Rattus norvegicus: one gene and its partners. The protein of the gene in region 1 purifies or fractionates together with the protein of each later gene. This does not show direct contact. Links are inferred from orthologs where the notes say so. Each region holds a gene or a part of one and is shown on either strand. Other genes may lie near its edges. The genes, in order: Jun, Cop1, Dhx9, Creb5, Nfe2l2 and Atf7.

Region 1 (5,199 bases):
AGTGTTTAATAGACAAAACTTACTTTTATTACTGTTATCATAAATCATGTAGAATATGAGCTCCTTGGCAAAAAAGGATGAGGGCCGCGCACAGAGTAACTCGGTCTCCCTTAGGGGGAAGTAAATGTATCTCGACTTCACAGAAACCCTGCTCTACCCTGCCCCCACCAAGGTCAGCGCTTGGCTGGCAGCAGCCAGTTACCCTCTGCAGCCGGGAGTGAAAAAGAGCTGGCAGGTTTCCCACCGATACCAGCTGCTATTGGGTTCTGAATACTCAAAAGGCAAAATATCTTAAGGCACAAGGGTACAAACCCTGAGCTGAGTTCTGAGGCAGCAAAGTCCAAATTAGAACCTAGGAACTTAAAGTCCAACTTTAAACCTCAAGTCCTAGGCTGAAGGGCGGCTTAGGGAACAGCTGGTTCCCGGTCCTTTCCTACCTCGCTTAGGAAAATACACTGGCTCCTGCCAAATCACAACCCAGTATCCTCCAAATCGTCCCACCCTCACCCCACCCCACCGAAGGCCTGGGGTAACTCCGAAGCTGGTAGGGAAAGGGGCACCAATTGACCACCTTCTAGTCTCAGAGTCAAGACTAATGCCTAGCAGCCCGATGTAGTGGATGGACCTCATCCACTCTACTTCTAGATGAGACCAATAAAGTTCAGAAAGTTCTGAGATTTGCACTTTTGCCCTGGGAGAACCAAGCTCGCCACCTCTTTAGTCAGTCTTAAGGGGTAGAGGGTGGAGGGCGGATAGCAGAACCTTAGAAAAGAAACAACTTACATGTGTCTAGCGCTTCCTAGAGGCCGCACAGGATATGAATCCACCATCGAGCGGGGAGGGGATTTTTCAGTCTTTCTACCAGGGACTCCTGCTTAAGCACCGTGACTCGGGGCGAGTCCGCAGCTCTCAAGGCTTGTTTTCCCAGAAGCAAATCAGGGAGGGAGGAAGGGCGGGCGCGAACTGAGTGTGCGCGGGGCTGTGTGTATGTGCTAGTGCAGGCGAGCGCTGGGGTTTCCTGAGTTTCGAACCTTTATATGTTGCTTTCCATACCCCAAGGAGCCGGGGTGGCATCTTTCACACCTAGAAGGGGGTCCCTCCGAGGTAAAGCGAACCCCTCCCGGCACGTCCCCAGAAAATGAAGTGTTGTGCCGGGGACCCTGGTGAATTCATTCCGAGCACAGCAAATCTCTGGTTTCCAGCACAGCACACTGCGGCGCAGATCCTTCTCCGAAACTAAACTTCCATGCGCACTCGGCGTGGGAGGGCCACTCTCAAACCCGCTCAACTTCAACCCACTTGCCGCTCCCGCACCCGGGGCGAACACAACCATATTAACCCGCGTCGCTCTGTCTCCCGGAAGTGCGGGGGTGCGGAGCCAGCTTCAATCGCCCAGATCATTCAGCCCTTTCACGGGTGTGTTCGTGTGTTCGTGTGTGTGTGTGTGTGTGTGTGTGTGTGTGTGTGTGTGTGTGTGTGTGTGTGTGTAACCTCTACTCCCACCCAAGCCCTCCGCCCCAGGCCACCAGCGCGTCTCCCCAGCTTTCTGGATCCCCGCGTCTCGGTCTGGGTCCCCAGCCCTGAACTTGAGCCCGCCTCCGACAGACTCCGCAAGGGTCCAGCGGACCCGGCAGCCTCCGTCACTAGACAGCCAAACCAAGACGTCAGCCCACAATGCACCGGGCGGGCCGGGAAAGACGCGCCGGGGAGGGAACCCGGGAACACAAGCCGGAGCAACGCGCGGGAGGGGGAGGGAGGTGGAGAAAGAAGGGCCCAACTGTAGGAGCGCAGCGGAGCATTACCTCATCCCGTGAGCCTTCGCGGGCCCAGAGAAGAATCTTCTAGGGTGAGGTCTCCATGGCGACGGGTGGGCCCGCCCCCTTGAGAGCGACGCAAGCCAATGGGAAGGCCTTGGGGTGACATCATGGGCTATTTTTAGGGATTGACTGGTAGCAGATAAGTGTTGAGCTCAGGCTGGATAAGGACTCAGAGTTGCACTGAGTGTGGCAGAGACTGCCTAGCTGGAGAGCGCTCAGGCAGACAGACAGACGGACGGACTCGGCTAACCTGGTCGTCCGCGGACTCCGGGCTGTTCATCTGTTTGTCTTCATTTTCTGACCAACTGCCTGGATCCAGCGCCCGCAGCTCCTGCACCGGTGTTTTGGGGAGCACTTGGAGAGTCCCTTCTCCCGCTTTTCCCGGAGAAGAAGCTCACAAGTCCCGGCACTGCTGACAGCATCGAGAACGGCTCCGGACCGCGCGAGGAAATAGGCGAGCGGCTACCGGCCAGCAACTTTCCTGACCCAGAGGACCGGGAACAAGTGGCCCGGAGCGAACTTTTGCAAAACCTCTTCTGCGCCTAAGGCTGCCACCGAGACCGTAAAGAAAAGGGAGAAGAGGAACCTATACTCATACCAGCTCGCACAGGCGGCTGAAGTTGGGCGAGTGCTAGCCGCGGCTGCCTAGCGTCCCCCTCCCCCTCACAGCGGAGGAGGGGACAGTTGTCGGAGGCCGGGCGGCAGAGCCCGATCGCGGGCTTCCACCAAGAATTCCGTGACGACTGGTCTGCGCCGCCGGAGAACCTCTGTCGCTGGGGCTGGTCCGCGGGCTCCGAGGAACCGCTGCTTCCCGAGAGCGCTCCGTGAGTGACCGCGACTTTTCAAAGCTCCGGATCGCGCGGGAGCCAACCAACGTGAGTGCAAGCGGTGTCTTAACCCTGCGCTCCCTGGAGCGAACTGGGGAGGAGGGCGCAGGGGGGAGCACTGCGGTCTGGAGCGCACGCTCCTAAACAAACTTTGTTACTGAAGCGGGGACGCGCGGGTATCCCCCGCTTCCCGGCGCGCTGTTGCGGCCCCGAAACTTCTGCGCACAGCCCAGGCTAACCCCGCGTGAAGTGACCGACTGTTCTATGACTGCAAAGATGGAAACGACCTTCTACGACGATGCCCTCAACGCCTCGTTCCTCCAGTCCGAGAGTGGCGCCTACGGCTACAGTAACCCTAAGATTCTGAAGCAGAGCATGACCTTGAACCTGGCCGACCCGGTGGGCAATCTGAAGCCGCACCTCCGAGCCAAGAACTCGGACCTTCTCACGTCGCCCGACGTCGGGCTGCTCAAGCTGGCGTCGCCGGAGCTGGAGCGCCTGATCATCCAGTCCAGCAATGGGCACATCACCACTACACCGACCCCCACTCAGTTCTTGTGCCCCAAGAACGTGACCGACGAGCAGGAGGGCTTCGCCGAAGGCTTCGTGCGCGCCCTAGCTGAACTGCATAGCCAGAATACGCTGCCCAGTGTCACCTCCGCGGCACAACCTGTCAGTGGGGCGGGCATGGTCGCTCCCGCTGTGGCCTCAGTAGCTGGCGCTGGCGGCGGCGGCGGCTACAGCGCCAGCCTGCACAGTGAGCCTCCGGTCTACGCCAACCTCAGCAACTTCAACCCGGGTGCGCTGAGCAGCGGCGGTGGGGCGCCCTCCTATGGCGCGACCGGGCTGGCCTTTCCATCGCAGCCCCAGCAGCAGCAGCAGCCGCCTCAGCCGCCGCACCACTTGCCCCAACAGATCCCGGTGCAGCACCCGCGGCTGCAGGCGCTGAAGGAAGAGCCGCAGACGGTGCCGGAGATGCCGGGAGAGACGCCGCCCTTGTCCCCCATCGACATGGAGTCTCAGGAGCGGATCAAGGCGGAGAGGAAGCGCATGAGGAACCGCATCGCTGCCTCCAAGTGCCGGAAAAGGAAGCTGGAGCGGATCGCCCGGCTAGAGGAAAAAGTGAAAACCTTGAAAGCGCAAAACTCCGAGCTGGCGTCCACGGCCAACATGCTCAGGGAACAGGTGGCACAGCTTAAACAGAAAGTCATGAACCACGTTAACAGTGGGTGCCAACTCATGCTAACGCAGCAGTTGCAAACGTTTTGAGGACAGACTGTCAGGGCTGAGGGGCAGTGGAAGAAAAAAATAACAGAGATAAACTTGAGAACTTGACTGGTTGCGACAGAGAAAAAAAAGTGTCCGAGTACTGAAGCCAAGGGTACACAAGATGGACTGGGTTGCGACCTGACGGCGCCCCCAGTGTGCTGGAGTGGGAAGGACGTGGCGCGCCTGGCTTTGGCGAGGAGCCAGAGAGCAGCGGCCTGTTGGCCGCCACGCTTTGCGAACGGGCTGTGCCCGCGCGACCAGAACGATGGACTTTTCGTTAACATTGACCAAGAACTGCATGGACCTAACATTCGATCTCATTCAGTATTAAGGGGGGTGGGTGGGGGCTTACAAACTGCAATAGAGACTGTAGATTGCTTCTGTAGTGCTCCGTAAGAACACAAAGCAGGGAGGGCTGGGAAGGGGAGGGAGGCTTGTGAGTACCAGGCTAGATTGCGGATGAACTCCCCTGGCCTGCCTCTCTCAACTATGTATGTACATATATTTTTTTTTAATTTGATGAAAGCTGATTACTGTCTATAATAAACAGCTTCCTGCCTTTGTAAGTTATTCCATGTTTGTTTGTTTGGGTGTCCTACCCAGTGTTTGTAAATAAGAGATTTGAAGCATTCTGAGTTTACCATTTGTAATAAAGTATATAATTTTTTTATGTTTTGTTTCTGAAAATTTTCAGAAAGGATATTTAAGAAAACACAATAAACCATTGAGAAGTAGCCCCCAACCTCTCTGCTGCATTATCGATAGATAATGAGAGCTAGGTGAAATGACAGCTGAGTGTCTGTATGCTGGGGTGAGAGCCTGTAGTCCCTCCCGTCTGGTTGTAGGAATAGACACCCTGCATGCTATCATTGGCTCATACTCTCTCTCTCCCCAGCAACCCACAAGTCCAGACTGTTGACCAGAAGATGGTGCAGTGTTTCTTAAGGCTGGAAGAAGAGGGTGTTGCAAGGGGAGAGGGACAGCCCACTGGGAAAGCAGACGCTTGAGTTGAGAGCCATATCAAGTAGCATGCGCTGTGATCGTTTATAATAATAATAAAGACTTCAGCAATTAGATGTTTATCTCAAAGCAGGGACCCATGGAAGGTTTTACAAAAGGTGTCTCCTTCCAACTTGGATTCTGACGACTCCTAGAAAAAGATGACCTTTGCTTGTGCATATTTATAATAGTTCGTATCACAATAAATGTATTCAAATAATGGTTTTAAAAATCTTGAATTCCTTTTCCGTTGCTAATCTTTGTTTCCTAAGCCGCACACTGAAGAT
Region 2 (4,666 bases), on another chromosome or scaffold:
ATGTAATTATATATAATATCCAAAGTTTTATTATTGATTTTCAGGCTAATTCAAATTACAGTTGGAAATAATACTGGACAATTCAGTATTTCAAAGTGTACTGAGACTTTTTTCACTGCCTATCATATTACCTGTATTGGAAACTCCTCCATGTATTATTGAAAAGAACTAATATTTTCTAGCATTGGAGGGCACATACTATAAATGAATCTTTAGTTTCACTTGGTCCAGAGTATAGCTTATTTCTCTTGTTTATCGGTTTTCTGTCCAGACAGTCTGTATATTAGTGGCAGCGGCTTTTAAATTCCTCTGTTACTAAACTGAAATCTCTCCTCAGGCCTATTAATATTTTTCATATTTATTTCTATGCTCAAATATTGAGTGCTTTCATGCTAAGAGTTATTCCTCTTTCTCTAATTTAGCCCCTTTATATTGTGACCCACCTTGCCCATTTTGATAATATGATTTTAAGTCTCTTATGTAAGTACTAAATTACTGTTTAGTTTCTTTTTGAAAATTCCATTTGCATGGGATATCTTTAATTTTCTATAGTTTAAGTTAGGATTAGCTTTAAGGGTATAAAAACCCTCATTCCAATAGATAGAATGTATTTATGTCTTTAAGTATTATTGTTAATTTGATTGTTTTGTTCTTTAATTGCCTGCTCACAGCTATTTAAGACCCTCTCTCTGAATATTCATACCTACCAACCCTTTGTCATCTCTCTTTGACAACTTATATTCATTTTGGTTAGATGATCATTCCTTGAATGGTTTTGGTGTATATTCACACCCAATAGTGTCTTTGCATGAAAGGATTAAAGATTTATCATCTGGCATTGTATTTATCCTTCCAGATATTTTAAATAAGGTATTATTTTTTTCTGAGTGCTATTTAAATACTATACAGATTCCCCCAAAATAGAGATTTCCACCCCCAACCTGTATATATACTATTCAAGAGTTAGGGTACCTGGAAAGTGTGGTTCATCACTCTTGGAAGCCTCTTGGAAGACACTGATTTTTTTCCCTCTACGATGATCATGGACAAACTAGACCCCATGTTCCTATATAGCAATTTGACTATTACTTCCTTTCATCTCTAGTGATAATGGCTTTGTCCATATTCTGCAAGCCATTGGGTTCAGTGACAGACATCTTTGTCTGAGTCATCCTTAGAGCACACAATCTGTTAAAACCGGCACAACACAGAGACTAGACATAGGACCATGGTGATGTGGCCTGTTTGCTGCTCTGATATTGGTATACTCGGAGCCTTAGACACCTAAGCCAGCTTCGCGTGATGCTGGCCAGAATACAAATTCTTTTTACTCTAGCCACAGCTTTCTTCGCCCCCTAGCACCAAGGTGAGTTCAGAATGTAGTTTTCTCCATGATAAAAAAGCTCTTAGGATCTAACTGACCCTGGGTTTCAATGGCCTGTTGATGTGGTTTTCTTTAGCATCAGGGCACTGCTTAGCATTGTGCTACCCAGGTTCAGGGGAGAGGTGGTAGAGGCAGCTCACTGATACCAGAGCAGTTTCACCCATAGCTTTATTGCGTGAGCATTGGCTTGGGGGGTGAACTTGAGGCTATGTAAGATGGTGGATCGCATCTTCATGTACTGTACTGGTACTAGGCTCTAAGCTTTACGCCTGCAGCTAGTTCTTCTTTCTTCTCTCTACCCTTAGTGGTTTCTCTTACTCCTTTCTGTTGTTGTCTTTGTATTTTAAATGTACTTGCTTCTCTTGGATTAAAGCAAGATACTGTGATCTCTCCTGGATTCCTTTCCTCTTCTGAGGGTAGTTTTTATAAACAATGCTTCCAAATAATGTTTCTTTGTGAAGATAATCTCCCTTATTCAGCCAACCCCATTGCTCTGGTGAAAATACCTAATCTAGTTAAAATGTTTTATCTCCCTTTTTTCATGCGCTCCATTTATCTTTTAATTTTATTTTAGATCACTGTGTCCACTACTACGATCTTCGTAACACTAAACAGCCAATAATGGTGTTCAAGGGGCACCGAAAAGCAGTGTCTTATGCCAAGTTTGTGAGTGGTGAAGAAATTGTCTCTGCGTGAGTATTCTCCTTGGAGGGCGAGCGTGATGCAGAGGTTTGCTCATTGATGCTGTAGTTTATGCAGAGAAGTTCCCCAGATTACTTTCTCAGATAGCAATAGATTTGCGTGGTTTCTATTGAAGTACATGTATCTTATTTGCTTTGTTCATTTTTATATTATTTGTGAATAAAATAAAGTATTACTCTTTGTTAAGCTCTCTTAAGTTATGTGTGTAATTTAATTAACATTTGAACCTCAAATTTTATTTTTGTTATTACCTGTGAAGAATTAACCAACATGTTTGGTGCAATAGAAAGAAAAATAATTTATTTGGTTAAAGTCAACTATATGTTACTACATAAATGTACTTTCAATGTAGTAGAATGATTGTTGATTTTAAATGACTTCTTGCTTTTTATAATAACCTAAACCAGTTTCTAAGTAAAATCTATATTAAAGAGATCTTTTTAAGTGTGTCTGCTTACATCCAGCAAATGTCCCTTGTAAAACCTTTTAGTTCCTTTTTTTTTTTTTAAGTATTAAATGTCAGTGATGTAAAGTAACCTATTGTCAAACTACAGAACTTTTCTGACAATATGGGAAGCTCCATATTTTGGTTATCCATCTCATAATCTAGTAAAACAATATGTAATTTCACTCTACAGTGAAATTCTTTATTTTTTTCCTTGCCTCTTTATCTCCCGTAGACGATTGTTTATCCCAGTGCCTTGAATTCTGCTTTCTACTTTCACCCTCACACCAGTTGCTCTAAGAATTTGGTGATTTGGCAAGACAAAAGAGGACACAAAATACTCATAACAGCTTTCCAAGGAAGTTATGCAGATAATTAATTAATAAGCTTAAATTAAATGGTAGCTAAAGTATATTTTCTCTTTAGATAACTGTAATAGGCAGAAAATAACCTAAAAATGATGCACATTTTAAGTGGAAACATAAAAGAACATTTATTGCAACACTGGAATGAAGCAGATTAAAGCACATTTCTCTTAATTTTTTTCTTAAAGATTTATTTATCGACTTTATGCATATGACTATGCTGTCTTCACACCAGAAGAGGGCATCAGGTTCCATTACAGATGGCTGTGAGTCACCATGTGGTTGTTGGGAATTGAACTCAGGACCTGCTCTTTAACCTCTGATGTCCAGCCCCTAAAACACATTTCTAAAAGACCTGACATGCTTAAATCAAACAGTTTGGATCTTGGTAGTATTCAGTTATAAACTTCTGAACCTCAGTTTTCTCATCTCCAAAATGGGGCTAATCATAGCACTAAGGTTTTTAGCCTTTAACGTAATAAAGTAGGTAAAATGTGTATCATAATTTCCTGCTCAGTGACGATCAGTTTAATTAAAAAAACTGAATTATGTAGTCCCTCCCTTAACAAAAGTATAAGCAAGCAATTCAGTATAGGAAAGCAGTTTGCAAAATAGTACCAGTCCTAAAATTACCTTTGTCTATTAGAATCACCAGTGTTTTTTATGCAAAAAAATAAAAAGTTGTTTTGGGTAAGCAACTATATATATATATATATATATATATATATATATATATATATATATATTTACAGCAAAATAAACTGCATCGTGTAGTTTCCAACAATACCTCTCACCTGTAGGGGAGAAATAATTTATGTCTAGTATACCAGTAAGAGTTGAAAGATAAATCACAATGAGAAGATTGAGGGTCTCCCTGAAATGAAACACATCTCTCAGGGCAAAGTCTCATTATTTATTGGTGGTGGGACAGTGGTATTGATGACATTGATGATTGCTTTCTGTATACCCAGGCCCTATTGAAAGCATGTTAAACGAGTTCGGTTTTCACAGTGTTGAGCTCATTTAATTATGTAGATAATGCCATACCATATTTCACTGTTAACAATGGAGCCAATGAGGGCAAGACTTAGATATGTAGGTACCACAGACTACATATTGAACCTCAAAACTAGATTGCTTTTTTTAGTTACTAGTGGTGATAGTTTCATACCATGAAATCTAAACTTTACTCCTCTTTGTGTTTATCTCAGCTCAACAGACAGCCAACTAAAACTGTGGAATGTGGGGAAACCATACTGTCTACGTTCCTTCAAGGGTCATATTAATGAAAAAAACTTTGTAGGCCTTGCTTCCAATGGAGATTATATAGCTTGTGGTAAGTGAACTTGTACTTTTAAACAAACTTTGTGAAGACATGTCATGGCAGTTTTCAGTGCAGTCATCATAGCCTTGATGTCTAGGACTGCATTCTTTTCTTCTCCAGTCATGCTGGGAGCACTAGTTTTCCTTCTATGTATGAGCCATGTATCCATAGTATAGTATTGCCAAGGATTTTTCACTGCTCTCTTGTCATTCTAAATATGCCACAATTTCGGTAGGTATGTTAGAAACTATAGAAACTATAATAATTTCTGCTAGTAGTATTTTAAGAAGACATCTTTCAGATGCTTGATTCTCATTTTACCCTATCTAGTATTATTTTGATTTAGTAATCTGTTTGGGTTGCATGAATCTAATTTATGAGTTCTTATATATAGAATTTGTGCAAATTTAAATCAGAAATGGAAAAATGCAATTTGCTGTTATTCA
Region 3 (4,666 bases), on another chromosome or scaffold:
GAAGATCTATGCTGTAGTATCAATGTTTCTTTTAGTACATAAATACCTAGTTTCTGATGGTTCATTACACAGCTCATTTGTCTTTGGTAATCTTTATAGGGATTTTTGCACGTGAACATGGATCAAATAAGAAATTAGCAGCACAGTCATGTGCCCTCTCACTAGTCCGACAACTCTATCATCTTGGAGTGATTGAAGCTTACTCTGGTCTTACAAAGAAGAAAGAAGGAGAGAGAGTAAGTTCTTAGGTATAACCATAGTATTTAGATGAGGGGCATTATAGTGGGGATAAAGATTAGGGCTTTTAAATGCCAGACAAACAATGTTTTACTTCTGAGCTATATTCTAAGCTCAATACTTAGTAATGAAGAAATTAAAATAATTATACTAATCAATACTTTATGAAGAACTTATGTTTATAGGGGCCATTGAGTGAGTCATTGGTGAAATTCTGACTTAGAGAGTTGTTGGTTTCTGGCAATCAATAATAGCCCTAATGTCAGCTATATGTTAGTTTAGGTGAAATTAGTAGTTTTAAATTATATTCATGGGTATATTCATGATTTTCTTTGCTCCTTCTTTGTAGGTGGAGCCTTACAAAGTTTTCCTTTCCCCAGATTTGGAGCTTCAGTTGCAAAATGTGGTTCAAGAGCTAGATCTGGAAATTGTTCCCCCAGTAAGCATGTAGCTTTGCAGTTTACCTTGTTTTTAAAGTCTTTCCTTAGGATCATGTCTTTTTATTTATTTTTGCTTTTTATTTTTAAATAGCCTGTTGATCCTTCTATGCCAGTTATACTCAACATTGGGAAATTGGCTCATTTTGAACCATCTCAGAGGCAAAATGCAGTGGGAGTGGTTCCTTGGTCACCCCCACAGTCCAACTGGAATCCTTGGACAAGTAGCAACATTGATGAGGGGCCCCTTGCTTATGTAAGTACAATATGGGTTCTAAGATTAGTTCTATATTTTCCTTTGTATCTTTTTTTAGGTCAGAAGTGAATAGATTTTGTTTGAATGCTTTCTTTTTACAGGCTTCTACAGAACAAATAAGCATGGACCTTAAGAATGAATTAGCATACCAGATGGAACAGGATCATAATTTACAGAGTGTGAGTGTTGAAGATCTCTTACATATATTGTCTAGAGCTTAAATACATTGTTAGGTTGAATGGCAGGTTTTTATAATTGTTAATTATAGCTAACTATGATAGTGGCTATTAAATCAGGACCCCTGAATGATTGATAGTACTGTTATACAATATTAAATATATACTTTGAATATTTTATAGCAAATGTAAAGTGATAACATTTTTTGCAAGTAATTATAATACATTTTATTTTTTTGGAGACCTAAAATTTAAGGAGAAATTGAGGTATTAAGACCACAAGCTATATTCTTAAGAACATTGTAGTGGGAATAGATTTTATTAGATAAAAATGTTTTCATTCTTTGAAATATTTCAAGTCCTAAACCAGTTAGAAAGCAGTACTTTTTTATGGAAATGATTTAAATGACTTATCTTTGTTGAACCAGGTGTTACAAGAGAGAGAGTTGCTTCCTGTGAAGAAATTTGAAGCTGAAATTCTGGAAGCCATTAGTCAAAATTCAGTTGTGATTATCCGAGGGGCTACTGGTTGTGGTAAAACCACGCAAGTTCCACAATACATTTTGGATGACTTCATCCAGAATGACAGAGCAGCTGAGTGCAATATTGTTGTGACTCAGGTAAGTCATTGTATGAGTTTGTCTTGGGGTTTATAGAGTTCTGGCAATTGTTTGAGATGTAGCCAAGTAAGCTTTCAAGAGTGTTAAACAGAAACACTGTTTTGCCTGAGTGTAGGTCTTTGTCTTTGGAGCTAGTATACTTAACTACTGAGCCCTAATTAGTTTGGTGTGTGTATGTGGTACCAGCATACATGCCAGCAAAATTCCATACATTTTAAATGAAATTTATCTTATTTTTAACTATGTGCCTCTCGGTGTGAGCATGCCAAGTATCTGTGAAGGGGCCTCACAGGTGTTGTGTTTTATAAAATGAAACCAGGGATATGTTTTGAAGGTGTAAGGTGTGGGTGAAAGGGGCGAGTTTGCAGGCCTATGTTGAGGCATCCCTTCCTCCTGAGGGACATAACAGTATAGTATAGAATTTATTTAAGGCATGAGGAGGGGAGTTGAGAGGTTAGTAGAGACAGAAAGGCAGAGAGAGAGAGAGAGAAAGTAGAGGAGTAGGGGCTGGCCCTGAGCTCTGGGCGGGAAATAGGGGGTGTGAGGAGAGTGGGGAGTAAGGGAAGGAAGCAAGAGAGTCAGAGCAGTGTAGGGATTCTTATTCAAGTAAGAGGATAATGAACCTTATTTTGTGTGCATTTACAAAGGGTATTTCTACATTAGTAGTATACATCATTGCTTTAATTGCTTTATTTTTAAAGTGCACAAATTTGTATTTAGCGGGAAACTTGTATGTAGGGCAGTGTTACTCTGCATTTAAGTATGAATGCAGCTTTAAGGTGTATTGTTAACTTAAAAGTGATAGCATGGAAAGAAAGCTATCTTTTCTTTATTTATTTTAGTCATATGAGTACACTATAGCTGTTTTCAGACACACGAGAAGAGAGCATTAAATACAATTACAGATGATTGCGAGCCACCATGTGGTTGCTGGGAATTGAACTCAGGACCTCTAGAAAAACCATCTCTCCAACCCAGAAAGCTATCATCTTAGTTAAGCCATTAAAACGGAATGTGGAAATTGGTTAGCAACATATGAGTTCATCCTAGGCTTAGACTATGTGGGTTTGCAGAAAGAACATTAGATAGCCAGACATGTTTTGCGTGTGTTAGCAAAAGTTAAGTCCAAGGATGAGAAAGAACAATTAATTTATAGTAAGATCACTGAATAACACTTTTCTGTATCAACACAGGAAGCAGAGTACATTAAGAAACTTATTAGATATTATGTACAAGGTTGACATCCTTGAGCATGCTTATTTATAGATCACTATTTATAAACACATTAAAAATGTTGGGCCAGAACATCTTAGGGGAAGGAATTGACTGTGAGAACTGTTATGATCGGAGTTTTAAATAGATTGTTAGAGGGGCTGATCAATCTTGTCTATGTAGTTATATTTTTAGCAGCATAATTTAAAGTCTCTTAACATTCTCAAGGTACATGTGGTTAAACCTATCATTTTGTTGACAACTAACTTTTTCAAAGATTTGTGTATGTGAGTCCTTGAAGAAGTAAAGTGAACCAATCATCTTTTGGTTCAAACTCGCTCTAAGTACAGCCATTTGTAAGAAAGAGTTCTTTGTAGGTTTGTGCCATTCCTCTTAATCATTTTTTTTTTTTTTCCTTTTCTGGAGCTGAGGACCGAACCCAGAGCCTTGCGATTGCTAGGCAAGTGCTCTACCACTGAGCTAAATCCCCAACCCCGCAATTGCTTACTCTTAAAATAAAGTGGTTATGTGTTTATATAGTTATATCTTCATTTATTAAAATTAAAATTTCAAACTTGATGAAAATCGTTTCTATCATTTCACTGTTCCTAAGCTACATGAAACCTGACTATATAATCAGACCCTTTTAGAAAACTGCTGTGTTCAGTTTGGTGATACAGCATTTGCCTAGCATGTTATGTAGGTTTTATCACCCATATCACATAGACACTATTAAACAAATAAAACTAATTTTGTAATTTCATACCATATTTGTGTTCTGTTTTAGCCCAGAAGGATCAGTGCAGTTGCGGTGGCTGAGCGAGTTGCTTATGAGAGAGGAGAAGAACCTGGAAAAAGCTGTGGCTACAGTGTCCGGTTTGAGTCTATACTTCCACGCCCTCATGCCAGTATAATGTTTTGTACTGTAGGTCAGTGGTGTATTTTCATTTGTAGTTTGTCAACTTTTTATAAAGAAAACAAAAAACTGTTGGTTGGTATTCATTTCAATTCAAGAGCTCTGGAAGTAGAGACAGGTTCAAGGCCAGCCTGATGTACAGTGTGGGTTCCTGAACAATCATAGCTATACAGAGAAACTGTCTCAAAAATAAACAAAACCCATGATATTTCTACTTGCATATTATCCAAGTAAGCCCTTTCCTGTACAATGCAAGGATTGTGTGAAAACAGAGTTAGTGTTTGCTTCATTGGCTGCTTTGAGATGACCACGAGGGCAAGAGCCACCAACCTGCAGCTAAATTTTTGGTTTGTTGCTTCTTTGATTCTGTAACAAAACTCTTATAATTGTTTTTTGTTTTTTTATTTTCCCAAGGTGTGCTACTAAGAAAACTAGAAGCAGGCATTCGAGGAATCAGTCATGTTATTGTAGATGAAATTCATGAAAGAGATATTAATGTAAGTAATCTCTGCATGACTTTTTCCCCTTTAACAGGAGAAATCAAATCCTTGCTTGCTTTTTTTTTTTTCCCCCAAGCTGGGGACTGAACCCAGGGCCTTGCGCTTGCTAGGCAAGCACTCTACCACTGAGCTAAATCCCTAACCCCAAATCCTTGCTTTCTTACTCTACTGGTAAATGCTAACTTAGAGAACCATCGTTTAATAGCTGAGTTAGTAATGATTTATGACTTGAGTAGCTGGAGGGATTTTAGTTTTTCTTTGTGATAACTTCTGTGATTTTTAGTATATGTGCTGCCGAAGCGAGCACAAATT
Region 4 (5,187 bases), on another chromosome or scaffold:
AACCAGAAAGGAAACAAAACGCTCTTCCACTTAGTATGTCAAAACCAGCTCGGAAATGTGACAGTTTGGGCAAAGCATTACGATTCCTAGCCAGTCTAGTCACGATCCTCTGGCAGACTGCACAGTCACGGCTGTGATGCATGGGGGTGAGAGGCACTATATAAATGTCAGATGTTACATAAATGTCAGGAACCGTTATTGTTTGTTAATGGGGGCTAAACTGTTCCTAAGCAAAGATCCAACTTCCAGCTAGCAAGTTCTTAGTTCTAACCAGTCAGCCACCAGAAGAGAATTAACATCCTTGACTCTACCAAGGAACCCAGGTGGGCACTGGGGTTAGACATGAGCTACAGTGTTCTCCCTGCTGATCTCGAGAGCGCCTAGCCTTCTGGCGTCTGCCTCAGCTCAGCTGTGAAACAGGGTAATTACAACACTGTCCCCACTTTTCCTCATCGTGCCAAGGTCTTATGAGGAAGAAGAAAACGGTGTGACTTCAAGTGTTTAGCAAAGTGTGAGTTGTTGCAGGATGACAGTGGTCATTTTGAACAGGCTTTCAATGTTCCCCAAAGGGAGCTTCCAACCCAAAAACCTAGCCCTTGGTAGGAGTGAGGAAGGTGAGAGCAGTGGCGTCTGGCCCATGCTGAAAAAGGTCAGTCCTTCTTTCCCCGCTGCAGACCTGGCCCTATATCCCATATTCTAGCCCTGGCTGCTTCCCAGCCGGTGAGCTTGGGCCAGTAGCAGAGGCTCTAGAAGCAATGGCCAGGGCCCTTCCGGCGCTGACGCGGAGTCTAAATCCGGCTCATCCTTTGGCTCTTGGCTGAGATTCACCTTTCCCCTTTAGAAAGATTCTTTCACAGGTCTGCACACGCACGGTGCGGGACTAGGGAAGACTGTGTGCTGTGTGCTGTGTGTAGTCCTACTCAGTGTACACAAGAAGTTATGTCCTTGAGAGTGATGAGGAGAGGGGCGGCGAAATGTAGACGTAATGCTGAGAAGCCAGCACGCAGAGAACACTGCAATGAGGTCATGGCTGTCGCAGGCAACGGATCTGGGTATCTTCGGGGGCTGATGTAGGGAAGTAGGCAGAGTCCTGCATTTGTAAGTGCAAAGGTCTCCCTTTACCTCCTTCAACGTCCTAACCACCTCTCTTGCTCACACCCCAAACCTTACTTCTTTCTGACCCTACAGGCACTCCTTGCAGGAGCGCTCGTGCCCCTGTCTCCTGCATGGTTCTGTTTGAAACCTTCAGGATTGTTTCCAAGCTGACTCACACCACTAATGTCGGGGGAGCCGTGTTACTCGGCGCTGGGCTGTGCAAGCTGTTGCTTGCGCGATCGCGGGCGCCGCTGCCGCAAGCACCCGGGTCCGCTCGAGGGGCGGGGTCTGGGCGGGGCGGAGACGGGCACGCCCCCTCGGCCTGCGGGCCCCGCCCCTCTCTCCCTCCTTCCCCAACGGACCGCAATGATTTAGAAGTTCAGGAATCCCACGTGACGTCACCGGGGGGGTGATGTAATGCACTCTAAATAGAATGTATTGTAATCTTTGCTCAGTCCAACGTGGTCCCTTCACCCGGGCTCGGCTCTTGCCTTCTCCACACTTGTTTGGTAAGTTCCTAAAAATACGGCGCGGCTACTTCTGGGGCTTTTGCATTTAGCCACTTTCGCTGCACTTGCCGCGCCAGCCGACTCGGAAGCGTCCTTGTTTGCAGGGGTTGGTTCATCGCTGCAGCCGCGAGGTTACTTGGTCCAATGGGCAGGTCACAGGGCAAGGAGTAGAAAGGATGCGATGCATTTTTTTTTCTTGATTTGTGTTTATAAACACTTTGGCGGATCAGAGGGAAGCCCGGCCCCAATTGCTGGTGGACTGTGGAGTTGTGCTGTGTCCTGTAGTCACCCAGAGACCCCACGCCGTGTCCGTCCCGGAGCGCGTCTCGGTGGTTGCTGCGCCGTGCGATTGGAGGGATGCTGAGTGGAGCCAGCGCCGTGTCCGACCCAGTGTGCGTGCGTGTTTGGGAGCGCGCGTGAGTTTCCCTGACACGGGGAACAGTCATGAATCGGGGGTGTATGTTTGCCTCCAGAGCCCATGGCAAGGTGCGGAACCCTCCAGAAGTGTGGTCAAGCGGCGGTGGTGGTGGCGGCGGCGGCGGAGGCGGCAGTGGTAGCAGCAGCAGCAACAGAGACCAGGAACCAGGAGCCTCCTCACATCCCGTTTCTCAATGATGCAGCGGAACCCCGGGAGAAAGTTTGCAAACTTCCACCATTTCGGCCAAGACGCCTGGTCACCTAGGGGCGGCCGGGCGAGTTTGCAGGGGGCTCTCTCTCCCACCGGTGCCCAGCGGCCGCTGCCATCTCTCGAGACCCGCTACCGGCTGCAGCTGGTGGGCGCGCGCCCCGGGAGGGACAGCTGCCCTTGGAGGGGACTTGACTTTCGCTCCAGGCGCTCCAGCTTGAGAGTGCTCCAGAGCCCTCGCCTTCACTCCTGAGCCGCCTTCCGCCTCCGTCCCCTTTGCGCTGGCACTCTTACTTCTTCCGGGCTGCCGCCCCAAATGACAGCTGGGGCCCGAGCCGCACTGCACCCAGGCGGTTCTCAGTACCGGGCGACAGAGCCTGCCTTTGAGCCAGCTTCTCCATCAACCGCTTAAACTTTTCACAAAGTTCTTAAAGGGTTGAGACAGACACCGCCCCCACTCCGCCACTTTAGAGGGACCATAGCCCGCTTTAGTTTTTCATTTATTTATTAGTTAGAGATTTACTTCCAGAGGGGTGTCTAGTAGAAAAAGCCCCAACTTTCCCTGAACGAGTGCCGTCCCCACTTGATGCTGGTTCAAAGCTGGGAACTGGAGCGGGCTGCTTGTACATCGTTGTCAGTGACTGCAAAGCTTGTTTGGTTTTTTATTTTTCCCTCTTCCTGACATGTGTCAAAGAATAAAGGCTGGCTACAGGTCCATTACGTCATTCTGCAGGCTAGTAAGTGTTTGATTAAGGGCTTCAGATATTCAAGGGTTCTGGGGCTCAGAATGCTGACAAAGCAACTCTGCTCCCCTCCTCCCCGGAGCAATTGCGGGTTCCCTGGACACAGCTATTGCCCTCTCTTTCCCGACCCCTCCTCCTCCATCCTTCTCCCGCCCACCTCGTTATCACTTGGCCTGCCCCCCGCCGTTTACAGTTTTCCCCTAGGGGGAATGCTGTCCCAGGAGTGAGCTGAAGAGCTTCTGGTGCCTGAGCGAGCTCAGTACCTGATGAGCGCTCAATCCGCTCCTTCCTATTATTTAAGAAAGGGACTATCCGGGCCCTCTTTTCCCACGCGAGAATGCTCAGTCTGGATAGAAAACCCCTAGAAAGGTTTAGAAGCCTTATACGCTAATAGCGTGTGCCTGCCGTGACTTAGGAAAGCAATATGCCCACAGTTAAGAGCCCAGAGCCCGATGAGTTGATGAACTCCGTAGTCCTGGGAGAGGGATGAAGGACTTGACTAAGTCAGGTTTAGCGGAAAGGATCTATATTAGACATTTAATTTCCAGAGTCAGGGACGCGTCTGATAACTGAAAGTACCTTATAACACCTTACTGCTACGCGCAGTAGTTTCTTATTCTTGCGTTTCTATGTTTGCAGAGGAAGTTAAACGCCCAATTTACAGAACTGAGTTCTTCCCCACTTGCTCTTTAAAAGAACACTAGTAGCAAAAACACCACTATATGCGACTTGATTAGGGGACAAAGTGTGAAAACTTTTGGGGTGAGTGAATAATGATAGCTGAAATCAAGTGAAAACAAACACAGGCAGAAGCTTTTGACTGGAGAATAAGGTGTTTGAAGGCTCTTTGATTTGGGCACGGAGGAGGCTAAGTAAAGGAAATTTTATATTCTAAATAGGCAGCATTCTTGAAGAACACGTGTTTGGTTATAATTAGATCTACTTTCTCCAACATACTCTGGCCCTAGAGCAGGCTTTGTGGAGCTTGTGACTGGAGATTGCTTGACACCCCTTCCTCAAGTTTGTGGCAGTATTATTTACTGGCATCTAGCGATGAAATGGTATAGTCCCCCTATGCGAAGCACAGGCATTGAAAATGTTAAAATTCTTGTTTGTGATGCAGAAACCTAAAGGGAAAATGGCCAGGTCACCAGGCCCTGGAGAGTGTGATTAATGATCAGTGATTTAGTGATCAGTGATTAGTGGTTTTATTCAAACTGTTACCTCTGACCAGAAGCACACATCAGAGGATTAACAGGCTCTTTAGATAAATGCTCATTAGTGGAAGGGGAAAAGCAAAGATAATAGGCGTGCACCCAGGGACAACTTTCGAAGACAATCATTCCTGTCTTCACAATAATAAGCTCTATTAACAGAAAGCCCTTTTAATTTAAAACTTGCTTTTATCTTGTAAATCAAAGTTAGATGTAAAAGTTTGTAGTGCCATTATAACCTAGATTTTCCCATATCCAGGAGATGTGGATTATCCCAGTAGCGATATTTTTTTTATTTAAACAAACAATTGGAGCTTTAGAGTGACTGGACCCTGACAAGCTTAGCTCCCAGGGCTGGAAGGTGTCCCCCCTTCAGGCTTGGAGACTGCGCTTTGCTAACTAGATGGCGCACTGTTATTTGGTGTCCTGTGCTGCAGAGCACATGGGCAGAAGCTGAGCATGTAGCTGCTTGCGAGGGAGGTTGTTCTTCAGCACAACAAAGTTCATTCTGTGTAGGATTGGAGGCTAGACGGTTCTACAAGTTTTTAGTCACATTTTCCGTGTCAGTTAAATCTAGGGAGTTGAAGGCTACTGGAAAAATTAGTCTCATTACTAACAGTAACTTAAAGAAGGAGGGAGGGGAAAAGGTACCAGAGTCTATGAGATAGGTCTGAGTTGCAGAGGGAGGGGAGAAGGTACCAGAGTCTATGAGATAGGTCTGAGTTGCAGAGGGAGGGGAGAAGGTACCAGAGTCTATGAGGTAGGTCTGAGTTGCAGAGTGACTGCTAGGTGCCAGGCCTCCTCTCTCTTTAGCTCAGAGCTGGTCCACAGTCTTCTGGCCTGAAAGACTGAGCCAAGTACTCAAAGACGTGTTTCCTTTCTGATCTTGCTGGTTAAAAGAAGTTACAAGAGAGGAGGGCAATTTCTGATCTGGAGACGGCAGGAGGCAACACGGTGCGGTTTTACACTCCCAGCTATGGTAAGAGCATGCTCATGTTTGT
Region 5 (5,137 bases), on another chromosome or scaffold:
CCCATGTGGACCACCTTAACCGTAGTTTCTCCTTCCTTTTCTGTTTTAAACATAGGACATGGATTTGATTGACATCCTTTGGAGGCAAGACATAGATCTTGGGGTAAGTCGAGAAGTGTTTGACTTTAGTCAGCGACAGAAGGATTATGAGCTGGAAAAACAGAAAAAACTCGAAAAGGAGAGACAAGAGCAACTCCAGAAGGAACAGGAGAAGGCCTTTTTCGCTCAGTTACAACTGGATGAAGAGACCGGAGAATTCCTCCCAATTCAGCCAGCCCAGCACATCCAGACAGACACCAGTGGATCTGTCAGCTACTCCCAGGTACACTTGGTTCTGGTGGGGTCTGAGGAAAACTCGACTGAGAAAGCAGACCATCGGATTTGAGCTCTTGGTCTGCCATTTGTGAGGATATTAAGTTCCCAAGCTTAGCTTCCCGATGAATTGAGTACCTGAGCTCCTTTGAGAATTCTTTCGATGATCAGGATACAATACAGATCATGGGGCATACTTTGTGAGTTACAGAATCATCCTCTTGGGAGGGAGGAGACCATGGCAGACGTTCTGTTGGTAGGAGGAGTGGGCATTGTTCACTGCTGTGGCAGGCGTGACCTGAATTGTATGAGTAACTGATGTAGCTGTGTCAAGTACAATTCCCATGCTATATGTTGATAAACAACTAAAGCTCACAAGGGTTAAATCATTTGCCTAGATCACTCAAAAATGAAGGGAGTTTATTGCCTAGCACAGAGCCCTGGGTTCGGTCCCCTAGCACAGTTTATTAAAGGGACTAATGATTTGAACACAAGTGATCTGGTTTGAATCTGTAAAACAAATTGATTTCTGAAATGAGTTCATAGGTTATTTTATGAACAGCTCTTAATGCTAGTCATGACCCCTGGGTTTAGAACATTTAACAAATGATGTTCCTTTGTGCCTTTCCCTTACTCCAGGTTGCCCACATTCCCAAACAAGATGCCTTGTACTTTGAAGACTGTATGCAGCTTTTGGCAGAGACATTCCCATTTGTAGATGACCATGAGGTATAAAAATGTTTGCTTAATAGCAAAACTGTCTTTTCTGGAATTAGTCCCTTTCATGTGTATCCAATTGAGAGAATAAAAGAAAATTTTAGAAGGAAAAAGTTGATCAAAGAAATTATCAAATAAACTGTATCAGATATCTATAAAACATTTAAAAATAAGACCTGCTAAATACTAAACGACAAGTCCATTTTACTGGATAGCTAGAAACATGAATCAGAATAATTTAACTGGAAAAATGGATATAGGTATATAAAATATTTTGTCTAGTAAAGAGCAACTATTAATCCGTACTTGGATTAAAAATCTTAATCTGTTGTTTGAAGCACTTTGCTAAATATTATGGGTACAAATTAAGTCGTAAGGAATGTTTTTATCCATTTTGAAGTCTACCTTTAAGCACATGGAGTGATATAATAGTGGATAAATGTGGAGACATTGGGGGGGAAGAAATGTTTCATTTTATAAAAGCAACCATTAGTAACCTGAGAGCTGCAGCCCCTGCCGCTGTCTGTTCTACAGGTCTTTGCTCTCACTCATGTAAATACCTTGTCAATCTTAGGTTTCTTCACCTACATTTCAGTCGCTTGCCCTGGATATTCCCAGCCACGTTGAGAGCTCAGTCTTCACCACCCCTGATCAGGCTCAGTCACTCGATAGCTCTCTGGAGACGGCCATGACTGATTTAAGCAGCATACAGCAGGACATGGAGCAAGTTTGGCAGGAGCTATTTTCCATTCCCGAGTTACAGGTGAGAGAGCTCGATGAGTGTGCTGTCCTCTATGGGCCTTTTAAATTAGTCATCCTGGTTATTTATTATTGACATGCTACCTACTCAAAGGAAGAAACTGATGGTGCATTTATATTACTTAGGAGAGCTTCCCAAACTCACTTAACACACAGAGTTTTTAATTAATCAGACTGAATATTTCAGGACAAATTCACTCTAAGACTGAAAGCTAATTTAGAGTTCTGACAACCATAAAATACTTATCTGTTGAAAATGGGAGTTATCGGGATTATTGAAAAGAAGACCTTGGATTTGGGAGTGGGGAACTGATCTAAAGCATTCAATGTGACCTTCTTTTCTAGTGTCTTAATACGGAAAACAAGCAGCAGGCTGAGACTACCACTGTCCCCAGCCCAGAGGCCACACTGACAGAGATGGACAGCAATTACCATTTTTACTCATCGATCCCCTCACTGGAAAAAGAAGTGGACAGCTGTAGTCCACATTTCCTTCATGGTTTTGAGGATTCTTTTAGTAGCATCCTCTCCACGGATGATGCCAGCCAGCTGAACTCCTTAGACTCAAATCCCACCTTGAACACAGATTTCGGTGATGAATTTTACTCTGCTTTCCTAGCAGAGCCCAGTGGCGGTGGCAGCATGCCTTCCTCTGCTGCCATTAGTCAGTCGCTCTCTGAACTTCTGGGCGGGCCCATTGAGGGCTGTGATCTGTCCCTGTGTAAAGCTTTCAACCAGAAGCACACTGAAGGCACGGTGGAGTTCAATGACTCTGACTCCGGCATTTCGCTGAACACAAGTCCCAGCCGAGCATCCCCAGAGCACTCTGTGGAGTCTTCCATTTACGGAGACCCACCGCCTGGGTTCAGTGACTCGGAAATGGAAGAGCTAGACAGTGCCCCTGGAAGTGTCAAACAGAATGGACCTAAAGCACAGCCAACACATTCTTCTGGGGATACAGTACAGCCTCTGTCGCCAGCTCAAGGGCACAGTGCTGCTGTGCACGAATCCCAGTGTGAAAATACAACAAAAAAAGAAGTACCTGTGAGTCCTGGTCATCAAAAAGTCCCATTCACAAAAGACAAACATTCAAGCCGATTAGAGGCTCATCTCACAAGAGATGAGCTTAGGGCAAAAGCTCTCCATATTCCATTCCCTGTTGAAAAAATCATTAATCTCCCTGTTGATGACTTCAATGAAATGATGTCCAAGGAGCAATTCAACGAAGCTCAGCTTGCATTAATTCGAGATATACGCAGGAGAGGGAAGAATAAAGTTGCCGCTCAGAACTGTAGGAAAAGGAAGCTGGAAAACATTGTAGAGCTGGAGCAAGACTTGGGCCACTTAAAAGACGAGAGAGAAAAACTACTCAGAGAAAAGGGAGAAAACGACAGAAACCTCCATCTTCTGAAAAGAAAACTCAGCACTTTGTATCTGGAAGTCTTCAGCATGTTACGTGATGAGGATGGGAAACCTTACTCTCCCAGTGAGTACTCTCTGCAGCAGACCAGAGATGGCAACGTGTTCCTTGTTCCCAAGAGCAAGAAGCCAGATACAAAGAAAAACTAGGTTCGGGAGGATGGAGCCTTTTCTGAGCTAGTGTTTGTTTTGTACGGCTAAAACTTCCTACTGTGATGTGAAATGCAGAAACACTTTATAAGTAACTATGCAGAATTATAGCCAAAGCTAGTGTAGAAATAATATGAAACTTTACAAAGCATTAAAGTCTCAATGTTGAATCAGTTTCATTTTAACTCTCAAGTTAATTTCTTGGGCACCATTTGGGCTAGTTTCTGTGTAAGTGTAAATACTACAGAACTTATTTATACTGTTCTCATTTGTTACAGTCATAGACTTATATGACATCTGGCTAAAAGCAAACTATTGAAAACTAACCAAACCACTATACTTTTTTATATACTGTATGAACAAGAAATGACATTTTTATATTAAATTGTTTAGCTCTGATAAAAATTAAAAGGAGCTAGCACTAATAAAGGAATATCATGACTTAAATTACTCTGGATTGTTTGAGTTAATTCCCAGTAGTGTTTTCCATAGGACAGTTATCCACCTACCACATTTGCTTATTTTACATTTTCAGAATGGTTTTGAAAATACACAAGCGGGTTGGGGATTTAACTCAGTGGTAGAGCGCTTGCCTAGCAAACACAAGGCCCTGGGTTCAGTCCCCAGCTCCCCTCCCCCCCCCCAAAAAAAAAGAAAGAAAAAAGAAAAAGGAAAATACACAAGCACTTTATACCCATGTATGGCAGTAGATGCTTTTTATTCTCAACATTCAGGAGGCAGAAGCAGGCAGATCTCTGTGCTCCAAGACAGCCAAGGCTACATAATGAGAGCCTGTCTCAAAAAAGACCAAAACCCTTTTCATACTAAATGTTCCTAGGATTGTCGTACCAAGGAAATGGTACATGTCACAACGAAAATGTTTATTCACAATGTTATGCCTGCTGTGCAGTACTGTGGCACAAAGAACAAAACCAATAATCTCCCTGTGCTCTCTGAAGCGGCATTCTCTAAGAGGGCTAGGAAGGAAAAAGAAAGCTGGGCATAATGCTTCCACCTTCAATAGCTGAACTCTAGACAAGGCTGGCTTTGAACTCTGCCGCAGAGACTGGCAAATCTGTGAGTTTGTGCCCAGCCTGGTCTACAAAGAGTTCCAGGACAGCCAAAGCTATGTAGAAAGAGACCCTGTGTCAAAAATCCAAACAAATGTAAAAAGCATCACAACTTCCAGGAGCTTGCAACATCTGAAGGCAGAGGTCAGACCGCTCTCAGAGCATCGCATGCTAACAGCAACTCCACAGACCACGGCTGAGCAGAAGGCACAGTGGCTGGAAGTGGTGGGAAGAAGAGCTGTAAGCAGCATAGAAGGAGTGGGCAGTTCTAGAGAGGAGGAGCTAAGGCTGAGGTGGGATATGAGACTTACCCTCTGGTTCTGAAGCTGAGCAGTGTAGGTGGTGAGGGGTGGGACGAGAGAGGCCAGTTATGTGGTGTACGTATATATATTCTCTTCCCAACCCACTCTCTTGGTTTCAAGGCAGGTTTTCTCTCTAGCCCTGGCTGTCCTAGAAATCACCCAGAAGACTGGCGTAAGATCTGCCTGCCTCCACCTCCTAAAGCTGGGATTAAAGGTGTGCCCCACCATTTCTAAAGTGGAAAAACTGGCTCACATATGTGGATAGGTTGAGACTGATTAGAAATGTAGGGGGTATGAAAACAAAGGCCCTAAACTGGACAATGAGCAGTCCTTTAAAACAAGAAACCTGTCAGCACACCAGCTTCATCTCATCACTGTACGGCTTTTTGCTGTTGTAGAAGTTGGGTG
Region 6 (4,666 bases), on another chromosome or scaffold:
CCATTTGGGATTTGAGGATGTAACTCAGACAGAATGCTACCAGTTGGAAGATTGGAGAAAAGGCGAGAGTAGAGGCATAGACCCATCTGGATGAAGCAAATCAGGTTAAGAACCCCAGGGTATGCTCTGTCAAATCATCCACAGAATCTGACAGGAATTAGAGAACACCTAATGAAAAATGTGTTTACTTGGGCTAGAGAGATGGCTCAGCGGTTAAGAGTACTAAATGTTCTTCCAGAGGGCCTGGGTTCAGTTCCCAGCACCCACATGGCAGCTCACAACTGTCTGTAACTCCAAAATCTGACACCTCACACAGACATACATGAAGGCAAAACACCAATGAACATAAAATACAAAATTAAATTTAAAAAATTTACTCTAGCTATTGTACGTGTCTTAGTTAGGGTTTCTATTGCTGTTAACAGAAGAGACAATATGACCACAGCAACACTTTTTTTGCCTTTTGGTTTTTGAAACAGGGTTTCATTGTATAGCCCTGGCTGCCCTGGAATTTATTCTGTAGACAAGATTGGCCTTGAACTTACAGAGACCTGCCTACCTCTGCCCTCTAAGTGCTGGGATTAAGACTATAGCAACTTGGGGGTTTGGGATTTAGCTCAGTGGTAGAGCGCTTGCCTAGGAAGCGCAAGGCCCTGGGTTTGGTCCCCAGCTCCGAAAAAAAGAACCAAAAAAAAAAAAAAAAAAAAGACTATAGCAACTTTTATAAAGAAAAACATTTAACTAGGGCTAGCTTACAGGTTTCAGAGGTTTAGTCCATTATCATCATGGTGGAAAATAAGGACGCACACAGGCAGATTCTGGAGAAGGAACTGAGAGTTCTGCATCTGGATAGGCAGGCAGCAGAAGAAGACTGTGAGCCACCAGACCTGGCTTGAGCTTCTGAAACCTCAAAACCTGCCCTCAGGGACACACTTCCTCCAACAAAGCCATTCCTACTCTAACAAGGCCACACCTTTTAATAGTGCCCTATGAGCCTATGGAGGCCATTTTTATTCAAACACCAAAGTAGGTTAAAGAAAGAAAAAAGGGAGAGAAAAAAAAAACCATAAGCACAAACAGAACAATTAAAATCCATGCGTTCTTTCTTGTGAATATTATTTTCCCTTACTCTGTTTTGTCTTGGAAGTATTTATGTGTCAGTAAGAAGATTCAGTAGGTAAAGTCACCTGCCATCAAGCCTGACAACCTGAGTTCTACCCTTGGAATCCACAAGGTGGAAGGAGAGAAGTTGTCCTTTGACCTCTAAACATGCACAGTGTGGCATGTATGTCCCACCCACGTACATACATATGCACATGATATATAATATACACACAATAAATAAAGTATATTTTAAAAGGGATCAGCACTGATGGCTCAGTGGCAAAATGCTTACCACTAAAACTGATGACCTGAATTTAATTTTCAGATCCCACAACTTGTCCTTTGATTTATACACACACACACACACACACACACACACACACACACACACACACACACACACACACACTGTGATATGCACATGTGCACACACACAAAATAAATTTGTTTTTTTCAATTTTTGACAATTTCATACCTGTATATAGTATATCTTGTTCACATTCATGGCAACTTCACTTTTCTAATTATTAAATATTTCATTACAAAGGTACTAGATGAATAAATTTCTTTCCTCTCAAACTCACATATAGGGTGAGAACAAAGTTCCTTAATTTACCTTCCCAGTAACAGTCCCATTACCTTCCCAGTAACAGTCCATTACCTTCCCAGTAACAGTCCCATTACGGGGTGGGGGATTTAGCTCAGTGGTAGAGCGCTTAAGGCCCTGGGTTCGGTCCCCAGCTCCGAAAAAAAAGAAAAGAAAAGAAAAGAAAAAAAAAAAAACAGTCCCAACACCTTCCCAGGAACAGTCCCATCACTTTCCCAGGAACAGTCCCATCACCTTCCCAGTAACAGTCCATAATCTTCCCTGTAGATAAATGGGGTACAAACCGCCAGACTCATATTTCTGAATAGTTTTTATTTCTAGTTTTTGTGTTAGAATTGGAGGGATTGAGTTGGCTTAAACATGAATGATTTAACAGTATCTCATGGAAGCCTAATGAAGGAGATGAAGGATCTACCTTGTTCTTTTAAACTACTGTATATTTCTACGTTCTGAGTGTGTTAGGTTCTTTAGATCAGTGGACACTAACACTGTTGTAATTGTTCATTAGAACAGTAGTGCTGTAGAAGACATTGCACACACTTGATTAAGTGGTTCTATTAAAAAAGATTTCTGAGACCAAGCTTGGTAATTCAAAAAAAAAAAGAAAAAAAAGCATAGTGTTTCAGTCCTATGATCCCAGCACTTGGGAGGCAAAGGCTCTCTGTGAGTTCCTGGTCTATGACGGGAACTCCAGGTCAGCCAGGGTTATAGAGCGAGACATTGTCAAAAGAAATGAACAACAAAAACAGATTTCTAGAAGCACACTTTCTTCTTAGTCAGAGGCCCTCACATTGTTAGTTTCAGAATAATCAGATTTATCCCAGGTAACAGTCATTTCTCTTTTCGTGTTATAAGTCTGTACTTTTCACTGTAGGCAGTTTCTGTCATTGACTTCATGACTGTCCTGGCCCTAAGAAGACTTGCCAGATCATGTCCTAATTTGGGGAGGAAAATCTAGACAGCATTCTGTCTGTGCTCAACATTAGGACAATTCTAAAGTTAATATTACAATAAATGGTTTGCTATAGATAGCAGAAAAAATTCTAATAAGTTTGATATAACCAACAGCCATTAGTAGTCCAAGAATAAAAGATGAGTTTTTGGTTTTGGTTTTTCAAGACAAGGGTTTATTTCTCTCTGTAACAGCCCTAGTTGTCCTGGAACTTGGTTTGTGGACCAGTTAGAATTAAAGGCATGCACCACCACACCCCAATTGCTTTTTTATTTTAGTGAATTTTCCTAATACTCTTTACTTCTCTCTCTCTTTAGAATGAAGTCACATTACTACGCAATGAGGTGGCTCAGTTGAAACAGCTACTGTTAGCTCATAAAGACTGCCCAGTCACTGCACTACAGAAAAAGACTCAAGGCTACCTAGGTGAGTGATTCATAACCTAAGCAAAATCAGTCAGTTGGTAAATCACAGGTACTGAGTATCTTAGCTTAAAATATATATGTATATATATATTTTTTTTTTAAATCTGTAATCCTAGTAAGCAAGAGGATCAGTAGTTCAAGGTCTTCAATTATAGCCAAAGTTTGAGGCAAGCCTGAGCTGCATGAAACTTTCTTTCAAATAAAAAAATAAAGCTTTGACAGTAGTGCAGAGTTACCTATAACCACTGGAGAGAAGGAGTAGCATGCAGTATTTCTTGAATGTTTTATTTAAGTGCTATACTGTTTTCACAGTTCCCCCATGAAGTAGCCATTCCATCTATAAGTGAGAAAACTACTCAGATTAGATCACTTATCCAAGTCAAACAGTAGGAAAGTGGGGTTGGGGATTTAGCTCAGTGGTAGAGCGCTTGCCTAGGAAGCGCAAGGCCCTGGGTTCGGTCCCCAGCTCCGGAAAAAAAAAAAAAAAAAAAAAAAACAGTAGGAAAGTGGTAGAGGTCTTTTAATCCCAAAGACTGTCTTGGCCTAGAGAGCAGATGAACAGCAGCAAATGATGCTGCTTAGAAACTGAAAAGTTGGGACTTGAGGGAAGATTTCATCTTTCCAATGATAGCCCAGTCTTGGTTTCAATTTGTAATTAGAGATTTCTACAAAATTGTGCTCAGCATTAATAGTGTTACAAAATATATATGACAATGAAAAATTTGTTATAGATAATTAAAACTAATAATTGCTAGTTTTCCTTTACATATTAAATAAATACATAGAAATACTGAATATAGCAAATAATTTTTTCACTAGTTGCCTTTATCATTTCAGAGATGTAAAATATTTCTCAGAGATTCTGAGAAAAAAATTAAGAATCTTTATTAAATTATTTATTTAAATGTTAATGTGTACTTCCAGGTGTGTTGATTTGTTAAGTAAGTACTGACCGAATTGTTGTTCTGTGCCAGGCACATCCTGGGTGTCACAGGAACCAAACAAGTTAGGTTAGATCTGCGTCCCTGAAGATCTTGTATTTTAGTTTGTAAGACAGATTTTTTAAAAAGGCGAGATATGTGGTTTGTGGTAAATGTAAAAAAAGAAGATGATGCAGCTGGGGTATGGAGAGATTGCTCAGGGGATCAGGGCATTTACTGCTCTTGCAGAAGACCTGCATTCAGTTTCCAGCACCCATAACTATCTATAACTGCAGTTCTAGGTGTCTGAGATCCTCTTCTGGCCATCTCAGGCACCAAGCATGTACATGGTTCATGGATGTACGTGTGGCTCTGGCTGCCCTGGAACTCTATATGTAGATCAGGCTGGCCTTGGCTCATAGAGATATGCTTGCCTCTGCCTCCAAAGTGCTAGGATTAAAAGCATATACAGTCAAACACAGCATAAATCTTATTATAATAATAATAATAACAACAACAACAACAACAACAACAACAACAACAATATAGCTGGAAATGGTGCTATAAGAATTCAATCCCGGGCTGGGGATTTAGCTCAGTGGTAGAGCGCTTACCTGGGAAGTGCAAGGCCCTGGGTTCGGTCCCCAGCTCCGAAAAA

Evidence for each region.
Region 2: the proteins of Jun (region 1) and Cop1 purify together in Homo sapiens (affinity purification with western blotting; 9 studies listed by BioGRID and IntAct, counting the BioPlex papers as one, with this or other methods). This does not show direct contact. The link is inferred for Rattus norvegicus from reciprocal best matches to the Homo sapiens genes JUN and COP1.
Region 3: the proteins of Jun (region 1) and Dhx9 purify together in Homo sapiens (affinity purification with mass spectrometry; 3 studies listed by BioGRID and IntAct, with this or other methods). This does not show direct contact. The link is inferred for Rattus norvegicus from reciprocal best matches to the Homo sapiens genes JUN and DHX9.
Region 4: the proteins of Jun (region 1) and Creb5 purify together in Homo sapiens (affinity purification with mass spectrometry; 5 studies listed by BioGRID and IntAct, counting the BioPlex papers as one, with this or other methods). This does not show direct contact. The link is inferred for Rattus norvegicus from reciprocal best matches to the Homo sapiens genes JUN and CREB5.
Region 5: the proteins of Jun (region 1) and Nfe2l2 purify together in Homo sapiens (affinity purification with western blotting; 4 studies listed by BioGRID and IntAct, with this or other methods). This does not show direct contact. The link is inferred for Rattus norvegicus from reciprocal best matches to the Homo sapiens genes JUN and NFE2L2.
Region 6: the proteins of Jun (region 1) and Atf7 purify together in Homo sapiens (affinity purification with mass spectrometry; 3 studies listed by BioGRID and IntAct, with this or other methods). This does not show direct contact. The link is inferred for Rattus norvegicus from reciprocal best matches to the Homo sapiens genes JUN and ATF7.

What each region holds. Positions count from the first base shown.
Region 1 is NC_086023.1:115,009,845-115,015,043, reverse strand, and holds Jun (transcription factor Jun), read left to right. Parts: upstream 1-2,050; 5' UTR 2,051-2,908; coding exon 2,909-3,913; 3' UTR 3,914-5,144; downstream 5,145-5,199. UniProt on the Homo sapiens protein: Transcription factor that recognizes and binds to the AP-1 consensus motif 5'-TGA[GC]TCA-3'.
Region 2 is NC_086031.1:74,065,866-74,070,531, forward strand, and holds part of Cop1 (E3 ubiquitin-protein ligase COP1), read left to right. Parts: intron 1-1,958; coding exon 1,959-2,076; intron 2,077-4,107; coding exon 4,108-4,232; intron 4,233-4,666. UniProt on the Homo sapiens protein: E3 ubiquitin-protein ligase that mediates ubiquitination and subsequent proteasomal degradation of target proteins.
Region 3 is NC_086031.1:68,168,680-68,173,345, reverse strand, and holds part of Dhx9 (ATP-dependent RNA helicase A), read left to right. Parts: intron 1-99; coding exon 100-236; intron 237-586; coding exon 587-676; intron 677-768; coding exon 769-930; intron 931-1,031; coding exon 1,032-1,109; intron 1,110-1,534; coding exon 1,535-1,726; intron 1,727-3,725; coding exon 3,726-3,867; intron 3,868-4,268; coding exon 4,269-4,351; intron 4,352-4,666. UniProt on the Homo sapiens protein: Multifunctional ATP-dependent nucleic acid helicase that unwinds DNA and RNA in a 3' to 5' direction and that plays important roles in many processes, such as DNA replication, transcriptional activation, post-transcriptional RNA regulation, mRNA translation and RNA-mediated gene silencing.
Region 4 is NC_086022.1:83,722,264-83,727,450, forward strand, and holds the start of Creb5 (cyclic AMP-responsive element-binding protein 5), read left to right. Parts: upstream 1-1,961; 5' UTR 1,962-2,020; intron 2,021-2,077; exon of another isoform or gene 2,078-2,176; 5' UTR 2,177-2,215; coding exon 2,216-2,377; exon of another isoform or gene 2,378-5,162; coding exon of another isoform or gene 5,163-5,165; intron 5,166-5,187. UniProt on the Homo sapiens protein: Binds to the cAMP response element and activates transcription.
Region 5 is NC_086021.1:81,000,199-81,005,335, reverse strand, and holds the end of Nfe2l2 (nuclear factor erythroid 2-related factor 2), read left to right. Parts: intron 1-55; coding exon 56-322; intron 323-951; coding exon 952-1,041; intron 1,042-1,603; coding exon 1,604-1,792; intron 1,793-2,133; coding exon 2,134-3,357; 3' UTR 3,358-3,807; downstream 3,808-5,137.
Region 6 is NC_086025.1:135,545,312-135,549,977, reverse strand, and holds part of Atf7 (cyclic AMP-dependent transcription factor ATF-7), read left to right. Parts: intron 1-2,980; coding exon 2,981-3,089; intron 3,090-4,666. UniProt on the Homo sapiens protein: Stress-responsive chromatin regulator that plays a role in various biological processes including innate immunological memory, adipocyte differentiation or telomerase regulation.